2 linked regions of the Canis lupus familiaris genome follow. The protein of the gene in region 2 interacts with the protein of the main gene of each other region in a pairwise test. Links are inferred from orthologs where the notes say so. Each region holds a gene or a part of one and is shown on either strand. Other genes may lie near its edges. The genes, in order: RGS17 and AQP1.

The links.
Region 1: the proteins of AQP1 (region 2) and RGS17 interact in binary tests that used the Homo sapiens proteins (3 or more experiments, as listed by UniProt). The two-hybrid records come from large-scale screens. The link is inferred for Canis lupus familiaris from reciprocal best matches to the Homo sapiens genes AQP1 and RGS17.

The regions. Positions count from the first base shown.
Region 1 is NC_049222.1:43,598,492-43,606,772, reverse strand, and holds part of RGS17 (regulator of G-protein signaling 17), read left to right. Parts: intron 1-1,253; 5' UTR 1,254-1,278; coding exon of another isoform or gene 1,279-1,303; coding exon 1,304-1,397; intron 1,398-5,475; exon of another isoform or gene 5,476-5,479; coding exon 5,480-5,579; intron 5,580-8,281. UniProt on the Homo sapiens protein: Regulates G protein-coupled receptor signaling cascades, including signaling via muscarinic acetylcholine receptor CHRM2 and dopamine receptor DRD2.
Region 2 is NC_049235.1:43,682,603-43,691,330, reverse strand, and holds the start of AQP1 (aquaporin-1), read right to left. Parts: upstream 5,024-8,728; 5' UTR 4,993-5,023; coding exon 4,603-4,992; intron 3,230-4,602; exon of another isoform or gene 2,811-3,229; intron 2,717-2,810; exon of another isoform or gene 1-2,716. UniProt on the Homo sapiens protein: Forms a water channel that facilitates the transport of water across cell membranes, playing a crucial role in water homeostasis in various tissues.

The sequences.
Region 1 (8,281 bases), on a different chromosome or scaffold from region 2:
CTCATTTGGCCACCTTTGTAAGGTCACAGGTATCAGCACATCCTGTACCTCAATATTTTTCTCATTTGCCATGATATGTATATCCCACCAAAGTAATTTCCCTGGATTTGGTGACTTTTTATCTTTCCACATTTCCCTACTGAATGAAAACAGATCTGAGGTGGTGGAGGGAAGGGAGGTGTTGTCTTTGCGACTGGGACATGTAACAGAGAAAAAGGCACTTTGCCAATATATGATCAGGCTCCAGCCCCTGGAGGGAAAAGTCAAACATACCAAGAAGAAGATGCAGTGCCTTGAAAGAAGCTAAGAGAACACCAAAACACACTTGATCTTCCTCACAATGTTACATAGTTAGAAACTTTGCAACCTGCTTTGTAAAACTCAGTGAACCTGACTGTAAACACCAGTGGAGAAACAAGTTATGTACCCCTGCTACAGTCATTTAAAAGTGTTCACCAAGGAAAGTGGATGAAATCATTCTTGAGTAAAGAAAGAAGTTAAACATAAATCTTCCAACCTTGTCTTATTTACCTTACCAACTGATTTTGATTATGTGGCAATGTTGGGGGGGGGTTTGTTTTTTGTTTTTTTTTAAGATTTAATTATTTATTCATAACAGACACACAGAGAGAGGCAGAGGCAGAAGGAGAAGCAGGCTCCCCGTGGGGAGCCCGATGGGGCACTGGATCCCAGGACCCAGGGATCACTACCTGAACCAAAGGCAGGTGCTCAACTGCTGAGCTACCCAGGGTAGCTACCCACGGCTACCCGTGCCGTTCCTGCACGGCAACGTTGTTATGATAATTTTACGTAGCAGATAGTGGTGGAAGTTTGTCCCTGAAGTTTGTAAGATAGTCTCCTAAAATTTTTAAAGATTTTATTTATTTATTTGACAGAGAGAGAGAGCGAGCGTGCGCGCGAGAGCGAGCAACAGAGCATACAAGCTGGGGGAGTGGCAGGCGGGGGGGGGGGGGCGGTGAAGCAGGCTCCCTGCTTAGCAGGGATGAGGGCTAGATCCCTGGGTCCTGGGATCATGACCTGAGCTGAAGGAGATACTCAACCAACTGAGCCACCCATCACCCCATAAAAAAAAAATTTTTTTGAGAATTTTTAATTTGACTGCTAAAGTTATTTGTTTTTTTTTTCTTTCTCTTAATTTATCTCCCATCCCAATTAAATTACGTTCCCTTCAGCCTAAGCAATGTATCTTTCTTTTAGTTTTTTCATACCTTTTGTTTTCTCTCTTCTTTCAGCCAGTTGGGTACGAAAGTAGCTGAAATGCGAAAAAGACAGCAGTCACAAAATGAAGGAACACCTGCTGTGTCCCAAGCGCCTGGAAACCAGAGGCCCAACAACACGTGTTGCTTCTGCTGGTGCTGTTGCTGCAGCTGCTCCTGGTATGTGGCACTCTCTGTAGGATAGCACCCCTGAGCTAGCTGGGGGCTGACTACAGTGAATTTGCATGTTCATTCTTGGGATCTCCTTTTCCTCCTTCACAAGTAGGAATTATTGGAGACCATCATTGGAAATAGAATATTTCCCCAGAAACTACATTTAAATTGAGAGTAAGGTAAACAATGAAAACTTATTTGATATCCTGTTTTTCTCTATCCACACATCTTAAAGAGATGGTAAAAATAAGATTATGGTTATATACTTATTTAAACATACACAATATTCTCCAGGGTTCCAGAAGGTACAGGGACATTAAGATAATATCTAGCAGTACTGTACATCGCATTCAATGTTGTGTTTTAGTTATATGCTGTTTCACAGGATATTGATCATTCAGTTACAGAGCCACAAAACTGTGAGTCAGGGTGGCACTCTCAGCCACAGACACCTGAAAAAGGACAGAGAAAGAAGTACCACAGACCCATATCCACAAATCTAAAAGGCCAGGGCTATGATGGGCATAAAGTCAGTCAACTAGTTTCTGAACTTACAGCTGGCAAACATGCTTTCCTTTGTGATTTTATCACTGACACGTTCTGTAACATCATACACAGTTTTAAACTCTGCTATTTGGTTTCCTCATTGGCAAAATGATGAAGTTAGACAAGCTGATTCCCAAGGTCCTGTGTAGTACTAAATGTCCATGATGCAGGCACCTCAGAAAACCTGCTCCAGTTCCAAATTCCCCAAGTGCCTTCCAGTAAGAAAATCAATGACTCACAGTCCTAAGATTTATATGGATGAGATTCTCCAGAGGGATGCAGGACTTAATGAAAATTTTCCGTAGAACCATAAGTTTTGGGATCCTTTAAGATCCAATTCACAGGGACACCTCTGGGCCTCCTGGGCCTGGGTGGCTCAGTGGTTGAGCATCTGCTTTTGGCACAGGCGGTGACCCCGGGGTCCTGGGATCGAGTCCTACATTGAGCTCCCCGCAGGGAGCCTGCTTCTCCCTCTGCCTGTGTCTCTGCTTCTCTCTCTGTGTCTCTCATGAATAAATAAATAAAATGGTTTAAAAAAAAATCCAATTCACAAGTGGATCTTCTGAATTAGTTAGTGGTCTTCTGGATCTCCCTGACTTATGTCAAAACTCTGAAGAAAGGCCCAAAGGCTTGAATCATCTTCTTGTATATGATCTCTACAGTTATTGGTATTATTTGGTGGCATAATATTCTATCACTGTGGCCAAAATAGATGAAACGTGCTACGCTTTAGTGGTAGTGTTGGTGTTGAACAAGCTCTATCCCTTCTAGGAACCTTCATTTCCAAAAAACCATCAGACATTTTAGTAACTTGGAAGGTTTAGTTTTTATAAATATCAAAACTGCTTCCCAGATGATGATTCTTTGTTAAGGAAAGTCATAAGTGACTCCTTTTCTTTCATTTTTAAGCCTTCACTATTTCAGGTGGAGGAAATAGAGTTTTAGAAGAAGGAAATATTTCAATAAAATTGTGAATATTTTTTCCTTTATCACTCCTAAAGAGATCATTTAACTTTGGTCTGAATCCATGAAGTAAAGCGTAATGCCTTAATATGGTGGTTTGGAAGTCAGACTGCCTGACTCATGCTCGCTATCTGTTTGACTTTCAACAGGTTATTTTAATGTCCTCAAATTCCTCATATATCAAATTACAGTCATAAGAATCCCTACTTCATCAGGTTGTTGTACATTAAATGAAATAAAACACAGGCTGAAAACAGTGCCTGACACATTGTATGCATCTAAGAGATAGCTCACTGGGGGCACCTGGGTGACACAGTCAGTTAAGCGTCCTACTCTTGGTTTTGGTTCAGGTCATGATCTCAGGGTCATGAGATTGAGCCCTGCATCAGGCTCTGCACTCAGTATGGAGTCTGCTTGGGATTCTCTCTCCCTCTGTACCTTCCCACCTCTGCCTTCGTGCTCTCTCTCTTTCTTTCGCTCTCATTCTCTCTCTTGCATTAATTAGCTCACTGGATAGAACACTTCATATTGGAGAAAATAAAATCTCCTTAAAGAGGAGCTCGCTTGAAATAATGTATATGTATTTTTTAAAGATCTACTTATGAATATAATATAAAAACTAATCTTCAAAAGGAAAGCTAGTTTATTTTAGATTCTATAAGAGACATCCCAAATATATTGTTACATAGTGTTGGAGATTATGTTTCTATTTCTCATTTGTACTATGGCTATGTTCCAGGAATCAGTATATGATTTTATTTACCTGCCAAAATTTATTTCTGAATTGCTTCAGGATTATAACATCAAAACAGATAAGGAGTATGGAAGTTGTGTTGCGCTATATTCATTTGCTTGTCAAACACCTATTTGGCGACATTTCCTTTTTTTTCCCTCTCCTGCATATATTTAGTGAGACTTGCTTTTATTAATCTTAAAGAACACACTAACAAAACATTCAGTATGAGCTCATGAGCATGAGATTGTCACAGAAAACGGACTATGGATGGAAAACAAAACAGCTTTTGGAAGCTGCATGAACTCTCCACACCTCTGAGTTGATGCCTATTTGAGCTTAAAACATTTGGTGCACTGGATGAGGGCTCTGAGTTCTAGACTTAAGTGTCCTTGTCGAGAACTGTGTTTTTTAGCAATGAGTCATGGGTGCCTGAGTCTAAGCCATAAAGCACACAGTCTATAAATGTATAAACTCTTCCATATATGATAAATCAGAGGTAATTTCTAATGTAAACAACTTGAAAAAAATGAGAATAAAATCGTCTTGAACTATGGATTCTAATTGTGACAGTGTTATCTCATTGCAAATGAGAATCTCCTTAATAAATGCATTTTGAAAATATCATTTTTCTATTTTGGGTTTAAGAAAAAATATTTAAAGCCTTATTAGAGTGGGAAAACAAAAGAAATAAATGTTCTTCAAATTTTCCAGGCTAGGTCAGAGGAGCAGAATAGAAAGAAACACTAAAAAATGTTAAACTTAGGGACCAAAATAAAGTTAGAAATCAAAATAGGAAGTAACTATCATTTGTAAAAAGGAGCAGTTGTCACGTAGCTGATTTCTCCTCCTTTTAAGGAAATAAAATGCTAGGAAAGTAAATTTCTATATCGAGTAATAAATACAAAACCTCACCCTGGCCTTCAATGTTATGGATCTTTTCAACATCATAGTGTTTCCCTCAAATTTGCATTTATCTTTCATAGTTCAGCATCAGCTCCTCTCCCATATTTAAACTTAACTGTGTCGTAATAAAATGACCACTGTGCTTTTGGGGGTGGGGGATGATATAGAGATTAAGTACAAAACTGCTGAATATTTCCACGGTTTCCTTCCAAAGTCTAAAAAGCTGAGACTTAATCTGTAATGACTTGTTAAGCCAATCTGTTCTCTGTTCCTTTCAAGGAAACACTTCTGTCTTCAGATCAGTCTACTTCTCTTTTCTCCCCACAGCCTTACATTTCAAGGGGAGAAAACAAGGGAATGTGGTTTAGAGCATGTTAGTTGTTGTAACATGAATGAATCACGGAGGTCTGAGTTTTGGCCACAATATAAACCCTGTATAAACTTACAAGTCCTTCTATATGTGGGACTATGCTTAGTACTGACCAGAAGGAAAGAGGATTTTGTCAAGACCACTTGTCTAAAAGTTCAAGGCTGCCACTATGAAAACTTAATATTCCTTTTATGTCTGGATTCATACAGAGGTAATTAACCCTCTTCCCTTTTCTTGATGAGAAAGAAGTCTTTGAAAGTTGTGGGCTCTCCACCAAACTGCCATCTCTAGGACAGTAGAGGGCAGTGAGGCCCCTGCCACACAATGCACTGTAGATGGCACACTGTGTGCCATCTCAAAGTAGAAACTGCTGTGGGCTCCTGAAAGCAAAGTGCCTCAAGAAGGAAATGGAAAGTAGAGCCTTCAAAATTTATGTCTATTTCCAAATTGTCCCATGAGCTCTCTCCTAACATCAGAGGTTATGTTAAAATGTTTTTCAAAGAAATCTTTAGGTGCTAATCCATCCCTTTTTTGATTTCTTGTTTTCCTGGTTGTGTCCTATCAAGCAAGACAGATTTCCATGGTCAACCATGAAAAATCAGAACTCAAGAGACATCAGCTCTCATCTCTCCAGAATGGTCCTATTGACTTCTTATGCCGTGTGGTGGAGGTGAGGGGATGACTCCAGGGGGGTCTGGGGCTGGGATCTGCAGCCCTGGGCTCTCTGCTTCTAGTTTCCAAAGGAATGGCTCTGTCTAGCTATTTTACATATTAGACTTAGGTATAAGCTTTTTTTTTTTTTTTTTTAAAGATTATTTGAGAGAGAGGGTAGGGGAAGAGCAGAGGGAGAGGGAGAGACTGTCTTAAGCAGACTCCACATGGAGCCCAACACGGGGCTGGATCTCACGACCCTGAGATCACTACCTGAGCCAAACCCAAAAGTTGGACACTTAACCGACTGCACTACTCAGGCACGCCATGCTTTTGGCTGGAAGAAAAAATGGCCTTGTTAGAAAATGATGTCTGGAAAATGCTGTGTCTGATGTTCCAAATAAGGAAACTGAAGCTTGCCTACCTTCAAGAAGCTCATTAGTGACAGAAGTGAAACTAAAATGCAAGTCTCTTAATATCCAGTCCATTGTTCTGTCCACTTGAAGATGACACTTCCAAACTTTTCATTTCCAGGTTTGATATGAACCATTTCCAAAGCTTCTTAGTTTTCAGATTGAATTAATAGTCTCATACACCACTGTTAACAAGATTTGGCCCACTGCATTGGATATTCTTCATTCTCCTCAGGAGAAGTTGTCCCACCACAACTGAAATTAGCCCTGTGGAAAGCTAAAATTCATTCTCTCCCTTTTAGATACATGACTTCGCAGAATTCCTAGACCATGGGATAGATCTAAGTAAACATTAAACACTTCATAAACATGCTTTTGGCTGCCCCTCCCTCTATTCTTAACAAGTACCCCAGTTTCTGAATTCAAAACAGGGCAAAAATCATGTCCTATTTTATCCTCTGATGCTGTCACATTTTAGCTGTGTGCCATGAAAATAATACAATACATGCTTCAAAAGCCAAAGATTATTTTTCAAAAGAAAAAACAAAATACGCATCTGCTCCATGGTGAGGAAACCATCCCCTGGAAATAAATCTGCTAACACATGCAAGGTGAATCATTTCATCTGAGGCTACAGTGATAAACACTGTACCTGTCCTACTCAGAGACCTGATTCATCTCACATGGGAGCGTAAGTTATGTGCCTTAGGCTGCCGAAGTACTCCATCATCATAAGTATCACTTACAAACAGTTCTACAGTTTTGAAACTCATCTCACCATGGCATAGGTGAATTTCCTCAAAAGTTTCTGTGACTTGCATAAACCTAAAACTCGCACAATCAAAAGCCATCTACTAAAACAAACCCTAGTTTCCCACACCATATCCACAAAATCAAAAAGTGGACATTAGGACCATGGACCTTCTTTACAATTTATTGAATTTATTGAATGCCTACTATTGCCTGATATAGTTGTACTTCATTGGCTTTCACTATATTTTCCCTGCCTCTACATAGACAGAGAATAAATTCTCAATAAGCCGTTGAATCCAGAGCGGTCACCCTCTAGAAAGCTTGGTATTCAAACTGTCTCTGCCAAGTCTGTGTTATGTATGACCAGAGTGCTATCTATTGGAAACTGCAAGAATTAGAATGCCTTGATCCTTTTCCATTGAAGGCATGCCATTGATACTCTTTTTGACTCTGTGTTTACTGTGAAGGTTTTTGAGTATCACGTGGCAGTGTTTAGATCATCAATGGAAAGATGTATGTGTATAAAACAGAATAATGTATGAAAATGTTATGCCCAGTCTCATTTAGAAAAATAGAAAGAGTGAGCCAGAGAAGGGCTGGAAAAAGAAAATTAAATTAATTCAAGTCAGAAGGAGGCAAGGGGCAGCTTAGAAGGAAAGGTAGCTCACAGCCAGCTGGTTTGGTGAGGAAACCATGAAAGTGTCCTGCTGGCTGCTGGGGATACCGAGGGTATGATTCCCCTGAGTGGAGAGTCAGAAAGAGAGTCTGGTATGAGGAACCTGGTAAGGAATCACAAAGCTATAAGAGGATATGGAGAAGAAGAAAAGGGGAAAGTCAGATGCCCTAAGCCTCACAGAATGTGGAAGAGGAATGCCAGCCCCCACCTTGCCCTGAGGGGATTGTGGGAGGAGCTGCCTGAGAGAGGCACTGCCAACAGAGAGCTGGGTGCCAGGTAGGGGCCAGAGCAGGAACATGGGCTACAGAAGGCTGAGAACACAGAAGCATGTTTGACGTGGAATGGGAGTTCCAAAGAAATGAGGAGTATCCTCACAGTGGGAGAGAGAGGAGCCTCGCTCTAGCAAAGAAGCCCAGAGGCTGATACAAAATATACTGTAGGTATAGTGGTTGGAAGTACACTCTAGAACAGGGCCCTGCACAGGCATGTGAATTGGCCCAGGTGCCCCAGTTGACTTGAAGTCACTTCTGGGTCAGGATCACGAGCAGCTCTCTAATCTGCTGACTCACGGTATGTGGTAATGTGGTGAGGGCCACCTGGGTCTGGATGGGCCAGGATGTGGCAGATGTTTAAGATGACCTTGGCATTGGGCTGGTGCTGTTCATACCCATCGCCATGCCTCCCTCTGCCCTGAACAAAGCTGAACACATGAAGGGCCAGTTTGACTGCCCACCTCACCCTACTGGTTTTCATACTAGTGATTCTCCTGTTTAACATCTGTTTTTGTTTTTTGGGGTTAATACCTTTAAAATTTACTATGTGGATTTAATAGTTGAATTCATAAAAGTTCATAGTGGTCAATTGGTACTGAACATTTCT
Region 2 (8,728 bases):
GCCCCTCCCCAGATACAAACTGCTCCATGCACCGAGCAGACATCTGTTCCTCTCTAGTTGCCCAAGGGGTGGGATTTCAGGCCCTGAGAGGAGTTGCTCATGGGAATGGGGCATTTTCTAGTCTTTTTGGCCATCTTTTGAGTTGGGGGTTTTAACTCCACAGAACTGCAGCTCCTTGGTTATATGAAGACAGTCCCTTGCTTATCCCCCTAAGCACCAGTGTGGGGCAAGGAGCGTCCCCCAACACCATTCCGGGGAGGAGCCCTGGCTGGTGGGGGACAATGGCCATGACATTTTCCTCCCCACACCTGCAAGCGTGTTGACTCAGACCTGGCCATTCAGGAGACCCCAGACCCACTGGTGCTTCCAGAGGGCAGGGACCACGGCCCCCAGGGAGGCACCGCCAGCAAAAACAGGGGGCTCTTCGGGAAAGCTTCCCTGAGCCAGTCCCCACAGTGTGGGCATGAGGCAAGTTTGACCCGCCTGGGGGAAGCCCTGGTGGCTAATGCTGAAGGAACCCCCACTGGGTGGGGCCCCAGAGAAAGTGGGGAGCACTCGGGCTGAGCTCAGGTTGGGTGGGGGTGCTCCATGGAGTCGTCCGCACTGAGCAGTGTGAGCAGGAGGCTGTGCCCTGGGGGCCGGGGCGGGGAGGCGAGTCCCCGCAGACTGAGCGCTCCAGCGGGGCACGTCCCCTCGCAGGGCATTGCGCTTTCAGAGCAGGGGCTGCCAGATTGAGCCCTGGTTAGGGCCGAGCTCTGGGGTGGGCCGCATAGGGCTGGCGAGGCTGCTCCAAGGGCCCTCACAGGGGAAACTGCCTCAGAATTTTCCGTGGTGAGGGAAGTCTCCACCACAAAGCTCCTGCCTCTCTACGCCCTCCCCCTCATCTGGTTCTGGCTGGAAACAGTAATTATAGGTCCCGGCTATGGCACACCACCCAGCCCCCAGCCCCCTCTCCGGGCACGTCCATCTGAAAACTGGCTTTCCTTTCCCTAAGCCACCCCAGCCCTGGAGGAGGCTGCAGAGGTCGGGGAGCGGGGGGCCCTCAACCCTGGAAGAACTCGGGGCCCATGTAGGCGACAGGGGCCAACAGGGAAGGGACGACCCGCCCACCCTGTGGTTGGGGAAACCGAGCCTCAGGAAACTGAGGAAGGGGAGAGTTTAGGGCTGAGGTCAGGCCCCGATGTAGCAGAGAGAAGCGGTCCCCAGGCTCAGGCCCAGAATCAGCAGGGCTGAGAGAAGACCCCGAAGAGAGAAGGCCTGAGCCCGCAACACCCCCCTGCCGGGGTGGTGCTGAAATCACCGGCTGGGGGACCGCCAGGCATCCAGTCCCCTCTAGGACACAGGGAGACCCTGGCCCGAACCCCAGCCCTCCACTCTCCAGAGCCGCAGCCTCCCACGGGTTCCCCCACCCATCGGCCACCCTGACCTCCCATTGCCACCTTGCCTGTGCTCACACCCTTTCTCCGCCTGGAAGCCCCTTTCCTGGGCCATTCAGGCTCCTGTGGCACCTCCTCCCTGAAGCCTTCCTGGCCCTCCCCATTGCTCAAAAGCAGACGTTCTCTTCCGCCCTGACACCTCTTATCACAACTGCCTCCTGCCCCATATCGCGGGCAGCTGTGCGTGGGGCTTATCTTCCCCGCCAGGGGCCTTGGTCGGTCCAGGGGTAGGGAGCTGGTTGGTTGACTCAGCCCCTGGGGGGCCCCCAGCGGCCCCAGTCTGGTTAACAGGGAGCATGGGTGAGGGAGTCAGGAGAAGAATAAGAGAGCTGGCTATGAGCGTCTTTCGTTTCCCAGCGCCCAGCCACGCCCTGCGGTCCCTGTTTCACACATGGACTGGGCCACACAGGCTAGGCTGCTGGCATGAAGCGCGTCAGCCTCTGGCTAGGGCAGGGTCAGACGGGGCCACCGACCCCTGCCTCCGACACTCTTCACTTTGGGTCAAAATCGAGGTTTGGCTCTTAGAACCACCCGGGATCCTCCAGGCTGGACAGAGGCCCGTGATCTCTCCAGGGCGTATCCTAAGCCCTGACTCAGTGAGAAGAAAGTTGTCCCCACCATGCCCCCGGGGGACACCCCCTGACTCACCCCAACCGCTTCCTGCCTCCTCTTTCCCTATTTTTCTGAGGAATCTCCATGCCAACAAAGGTCTCCACCTAGATTTGGGCCAGGGTGGGGCCCAGGGCCCAAGGGGCTGTGGGAGCCTCCCTCTGAGCCTGGGGGAAAAAGTGTGTCACTTGCTGCAGAGACCGGTCTCTGCCTCTCTTGAGGCATCAGGGCCACCTGCCAGGAACTTCAGATGCCTTCACATCGCAGGTCCAGCGTCTGACAGGAGCCCTGGGAGAGATGCTTTCTGTTTCTAGGCCCAGACTTTGGAACCCCAAACCTCCCTGGTGTAGACAGGACAGTGCCTGCACCCCACCACAACACTCAGGAATCTTATGGTCAGCGAGGCCCCCCGTGGGCTCCTCTTAGCCAGACCCTCCTGGGAAGGGTGATAAACACAAGTCCCCAGAGTGAGCTTGCTGGTGGTTTAGGAGGGGCCAGGAAATATCTATAAAGACCTAGGTTCCTTCTTGGAGTCTCAGGATCCTCAGCTCCAGGAAAACGCAACAGGTTAGCAGCAGACAGGACGTGAGCCCGGCGTGCTTGTCCCCGGCAGGAGCCTGTCCCTTTATCTCCCCCAGCTGCCAACGGCCCAGCCAGGCATCTGGGCGACTCTGCAAAACGGAGGCCGGGGCAGGGAAGGGACACTGGAGCAGGCTGCGGCCAGACGAAGATGCCACGGTAGGCGGCCACCCTCCCGGCACCTACCCGTGATGCCCGAGTCAGAACGCGACGTCTGCCCACAGATGCCTGTCCTGCCTGTCCCTGGAGAAGGAGGGTCAAGACAGGGCAGGGGCCTGCGGACATTCAACCCCTCCCCAACGGGCACCTTTTCGCCACCGCCCGCCCTGCCCACCGAGCCGGCCACGGCTGAACCTGACCCCACCCGGGGGTCACTCCCCGGAGTCACCTGGCCCTGCCCTCTGGAGAGCCTGCCGGAGCTCTCGTCCCTTCCACCCACCTCGGCCACCACGTTCTTCGACTAAAGTCTAAACTCCAGCCCGCGGGCTAATCTTCAATCTTGGGCCGAGCAGCGGTTGGCTCCGCGAGGGGGCCGGGTAAGGTGTCACTGTGACACAAGAAGTGCTAATCCCCCCCAGCCCGAGCCAAGGCCTCGCCAGCTGCCCTCTGCACCAGGCCTTACCAAGCCTCCCCGCAGCTGCAGCGCCAGGATCTGAACTTTGGCTGGGAAGCGGGACAACAATCGCTGTAATCCCGGGCCGCGGTCTCTGGGGCCCTGGGCTGGCTCCCTCCCGGTCCCTGCCCCCGCCTGCCCTGCCCAGGCCCCGAGCCCCGATTCTGCAGATCTGGTTCCTCCCGTGTGCTCGTGCGCCACTCCCCTGTCCCGGGAAGGCACCCTCCGAGCCTTCCTCAGCCTCTCTCAGGCCAAGCCTCCCCCCGCCGCGGTGGCCCCGGGCTGGGTCTGAGTTTGCACTTGGCCGAGGGTCTGGAAAAGCCCAGGTCTGCGACAGCAGGCAACTGCCGCCAACGGCCAATTAGCTGTGCTAAGCGGCCCGGGAGGAATTCTTTGCAGCAGCCTGCCACCCACTCACCAACATCTGCTCACCATTAGTGCCCCCGGCCCAGACCCCATTGGGGCCAGGGGCAATGGGCATGCACAGGTACACACTCACCGCCCCCCGCCCCCGCCGCCCACTCACACGGCTGCACTAACACTCGCAGACCCACGGGAGCGCACAGCTTACACAAGCCCGGAGACCCATGCCAGCATCCACGTGCACACACCGTTCACACACACAAACACACGTGCCACACCTCACGGTGCCCGGCGACAGAGAGTGGAGCCCAGACGGGAGGCGAGATGTCCCCACCCTGGCCACCACCCCTACTGTAATCCAGGAAAACCACCTGCAAACCAGCCAGAATGTTTTCACCTGCCCCCACCGCACCCCCGCTGCCCCGCAGCTTCATCTAACTCTCGGGGACCAAGGAGCAGGAGGGGCTTTTTCCCTGAAGGCAGTTTGTTTGGGGACCTGTGTGAATATGGGGCGGGCTGAGGGTCCGTGTGGCCACCCATGGGTCCTGCTCATGCAGCTGCTGACCCGCGCCAATGTGCCAGGCACCCAGCTTCGGGGGGCTGGGGACAGCGGGCAGCGTGTCCCCAGGGTCCAGGCTGTAGGAAGAGGGAGCTGGCTGCCCCGGCCGGGCAGAGTGGAGACCTAGAAGCTACAGCCGAGGGGTGAGGAGCTGCTGTCCCCACAATTGGTAGCTGCCTCCAGAGCTGATTCCCCACGATAGACGCCTGCAGGGGACACTGGCCAGACTATTATTCTCTGGGTCTCGGCTTCCCACGGTGCCTGGTAGGAAACGGGCTCTGGGCTGCAGGTGTAGCTGAGTTCCAGCCCCAAGTCCTCATGACCTCCAGCCAGCTCGTGCCCTCTCTGCTCCTCGGTGTCCCCATCTGCACAATGGGTGAGGATGAGACCTATGCCGCGTGTGCTCTGCTCCAGAGCCCAGCACCTGGGGCCACCCCACGTACCTCGTTTCGGCCGAGGGAGTTGTCCGGAAGGGAGGAGGTGATGCCCGAGAGGATGGCGGTGGCCACGATGGCCCCCACGCACTGGGCGATGATGTACATGACAGCCCTGAGGATGCTGATCTGGCAACTGAGCAGCAGCCCCAGCGTGACAGCTGGGTTGAGGTGGGCGCCACTAATGTGGCCCACGCTCTGGGCCAGGGTGGCAATGCTCAGCCCGAAGGCCAGTGACACCTTCACGTTATCCTGGGCCGCACCTGCTGTCTGGTTGTTCCTCACCGGGTAGTTGAAGCCCAGGGCAGAACCGATGCTGATGAAGACGAAGAGGATCATGGCCAGGAACTCGGCCACCACCGCCCTCCAGAAGAGCTTCTTCTTGAACTCGCTGGCCATGCTGGCAGGGGGCTTGGCTTGAGACCGCTGCCTGGTGCTCGACTCCCTCCGAGAGCTGAGCCACAGCCCGGGCTGGGCCTATTTATAGGGCCCGGGGGGAGGAGAGGAGGGGGGGGAGCACAAAGGGAGGAAGGCCTCTCCTTGCTCCTGGCCCGCCCCGCACTTCACGGGCCTCCTCTCAGCGATGGATGCAGACACAGCTCTGCTGTCGGCCTGCCAACTTTTTTCCCTCCCTCCTCTCCCCCCTCCCTCCCTCTCTCCCTCCGCCCTCAGCCCTGCCCAGCCCGAGGAGGCAGGCGGGAGGCAGCCACTGCTCTAATAGGCTTTGGGAAATTCCTCCAAGTTGGCCCCACTCAGGGGGCCAGAGAAATCCAGGTGTCCCCGCCCTATGTGCGGAGCTCAGGGGTGTCCATGGGCAGAGCCAGAAGCTCTGGATGGTGCAGGGTGGGTGGGTTGGACTCCGCAGGTGGACTTTGCCTTCCCGAGAAGTGGGGCACCATGATCCTGCTCGCCCGGCATCCCATCCCATCCCGGAGTGGCGTTATTCTGGACAGCACGGGTCCAGGGGTCCCCAGGGGCATTCTGGGTCTCCCACACCCTGGCCCAGGCCTGGCTACAAGATGTCACCTTAGGGATGCCCCAGGGGCCCAGCACCACTGGCCAGGCCCAGTTGATGGGGACACAGAGGCATTAGGAGGCACGGAGAGCTTGTCGGTGGCCCACCCCGCACTCTGTGGTCAAGGGCAGGCCCGAGATAGGCAAGTAGCCACTCTGGGAGCCCTCATTGCTCCAGAAGCAATTAGAACCAACGATAGCAGGGCAGGTGGAGAAAACAGAGGCAGTTCAGGATTTTCCTCTCCAGGGCTGCATGCTGGCAGACCCCAGGGGGCGAGGGAAGGAATGGCCAGGTAGCCTGGAGACGGAGGCAGAGACGAGAGAAGGAGAGAGGACACAAGACAAAGGGAGAGGCAGAGAGACAGAGTCAAAGGGCAAGTGAGACGAGCGAGATCTCAGGCCAGGCTGAGGAGGAGAGACAGCCAGGGAGCAGAGACGGGGAAGAGACAAACCTGACAGAGGAGACGCCACTGGAACCAGCAGAGGCACGAAGCAAGAGGGGAAAGGTGGGGTGGGTGGGGAAGAGGCCGGCCCGCAGACCCCTGCCCCCAGCCCCTGCCCTGCACGCCGCCAGCCAGAGGCCCGACAGCAGCCGGTAAGCTGTGCAGGCGCCCGGACTCCCCCAGGCAGGGGGCTCCTGCCGGCCGCCTGCCCAGTCGGTGTGCAGCGAGGGCAAGAGCAGCCAGGCGGGGCCGGGAGGGGGCGAGGCCAGGCCCGGGAGGGAGCGGCCCTCTCTGGGCCTCTCCTCCCACCTCCCGCCCGCCTCCCCGGTCCCCCACGGCTGTGTTGGCGTCTCCCCATTTTACAGCTGGCAGATCGAGGCCCAGCCGGGGAAGGACATCCCTGAATTCTGCACGCGCCCGGGGCGGGGCCAGGATGAGCCTGTGGCCCTTACGGCTCCCTCCCGAGCCCACCCGCAGTGCACACCCTGCAGTGCACACCGCAGCCACCAGGGATCAGCCTGGGATTCGCTGGGAGCAGGAGGCCCACCGGGGGTGGAGGTGGCGTAGCTGTGGCCACCTAAGTACACTTGAGTGCCTGTAAGTACAGGATGGAGTGGATGCGAGGCAGGGAGTCCGTACAGTGGCCGGTGAGCCCTGCGTGCTCCGAAAGCCCCAGCGGCCAGAGGTCATGTGTGCCTTATTAACCATCCAAGAGAGGGACCCAGCCAGACGGGGCCACTTCCCAGAACCTCCTCCACTTCCTTTCTTCTGGGCAGCACTTGTTGCGCTGTCCACGCCCCAGGAGCCTCCTTCACGCCCTGGCCCTGGGCATTCAGAGTGTCCAGGATCCTGTCCGCTGAGCTTCCTGGCCCTGATGGGGCCCACGTCTGTCCCCGCCCTCCAGCTGGTGGGGGATGAGTTGAGGACTCAGCTTGGAGGCAGCAGGCCGAGGCCGGGCACTAGACCCACAAGGGCCAGGGGACTCAGGCCAGCGTGGGGGGTACGGCATCTCAGAGGCAACAGGAGCCTGGGCATGCTACGGCTTCAGCGACAGGGTCCACAGGCCAGGTCAGGGCCCACGTAGCTGAGGATGCTTGATGTGCCACTATGCATGAGGATGAGAGTCACGTGGGGTGTACTAATTTATTCACCAAATATTTACTTAGCATGTGTCCTGTGCCATCCTGTTCTCAGCACTGGGGAGACGGCCACATGCCAGCGAGCCCAGCTTCTTGGCCTCCTGAAGTTTACAGTCTAGCATGAGCCTGCAGGCCCTGTGCCCCCGCTCTGGGCAGTGGAGCTTGTCACCGTGCAGGGCACGTGTGCATGAGTGTGTACTTGCCAGAGGTCCACCTCCTTCTGGAGCAGGGCAGGATCAGGGGGACAAAAGTGCTTTTGCCAGGGCAGATTAGGCACCTGCCAATCTCAGGATGACGTGAGGGTCCTCAGGACAACACCCCAGAAAACCACAGTATCTCCTGCCAACCCCCCATGCCGGCTGGGCCTCTGCCTCGAATGCCACACACCAGTAGAGTTCCGTTCCCTCAGGCAAAGGCATTGCCATCAGCAGAATGCAGAGGTCTCCGCAGTAATGCCCACCTACTCACCCACCATCTCCCACAAAGCAAGGGGGCCTGTGTAGCCCCGACCTGCTGATTTCAGTGTGGAAGGGAGAAGGCCTGCCGCTGGAGCCCCCGCCCCAGGAAGGCCGCAGAGCCCATGACCTTCCTCTCCCTGGACGCCACAAATCCTGCCCAAGTAGGGAAGGAAGGGAGAGAGAGAAGGAGGAATGAAGAGAGAGAGAAGGAAGGAGGGAGGGTGGAAGGAAAGAGCCTCTGGTGAGGGCTCATCGTCACCACACCCCTGGGATGCTCCGATGGTAAATGATTTGCCAAAGAACAGCAGAGCTGCGATTAGAACTCAGTACCCCCTAATTCCCAGAACCCCAGGCTGGTTCTCTGGCTGTCAGGAAAGGCCCCTGATGGTCCCAGGTACCAGTTGGAAACCCGGTAACAAGTTCAGGACTGAGGCACCCAGGCCCCAGGATGGGCAGGGGATATGGGGGGAGAAGTGGGAGGACCCTCTGCAGCTTTTCTGTGTAATGAGGTGCGGTGAGGGGTGGGTGGGGAAGGAAGCACGGACTGAGGGGACACACAGAGAAGCTTGGGCTCTGAGGCAGGGTGCGACCTCCTCCCAGCTCCTCCTCCGCTGCGGCCGGACTCTGGTGAGCTCCGTGTCCCTCCCACGGGCAGCGGCCTGGGCCCAGCCACCAGATCCGCGGGCCTGAGCCAGGCTAAATAAGAGGGGCCCGCCCCCACCCACCCCCCAGCTCCGAGCCCAGGGCGGGGCCCGAAGCCGCTCGGGCCGGGCACTGTCTGGCCCTCCTGGAGCAGCCGTCTCGGAAAGCGTTTTTCCAGATGTGCCTTATTCCCGACGAGCCCGGCGAGACCCACTTTCCAGTCGGAGCTGGTTGTTCCCAGGACAGTCTGGGCTCTAGCCCCGCCAGGATCCAGTGGGAGAACCTCAGGCTTTGTCCAGAGATGGGTGCACAGATCCCCAGATGCACGCTAAGGAGTGGGACCTCGGGCTGTGTGGGGAGAAGACACCCACGGGCGTGGCCGCAGCCACCAGTCTCTTCGCCAGAAGCTTCTGTGGGGCACAAGACAGAGGGGCCGAGG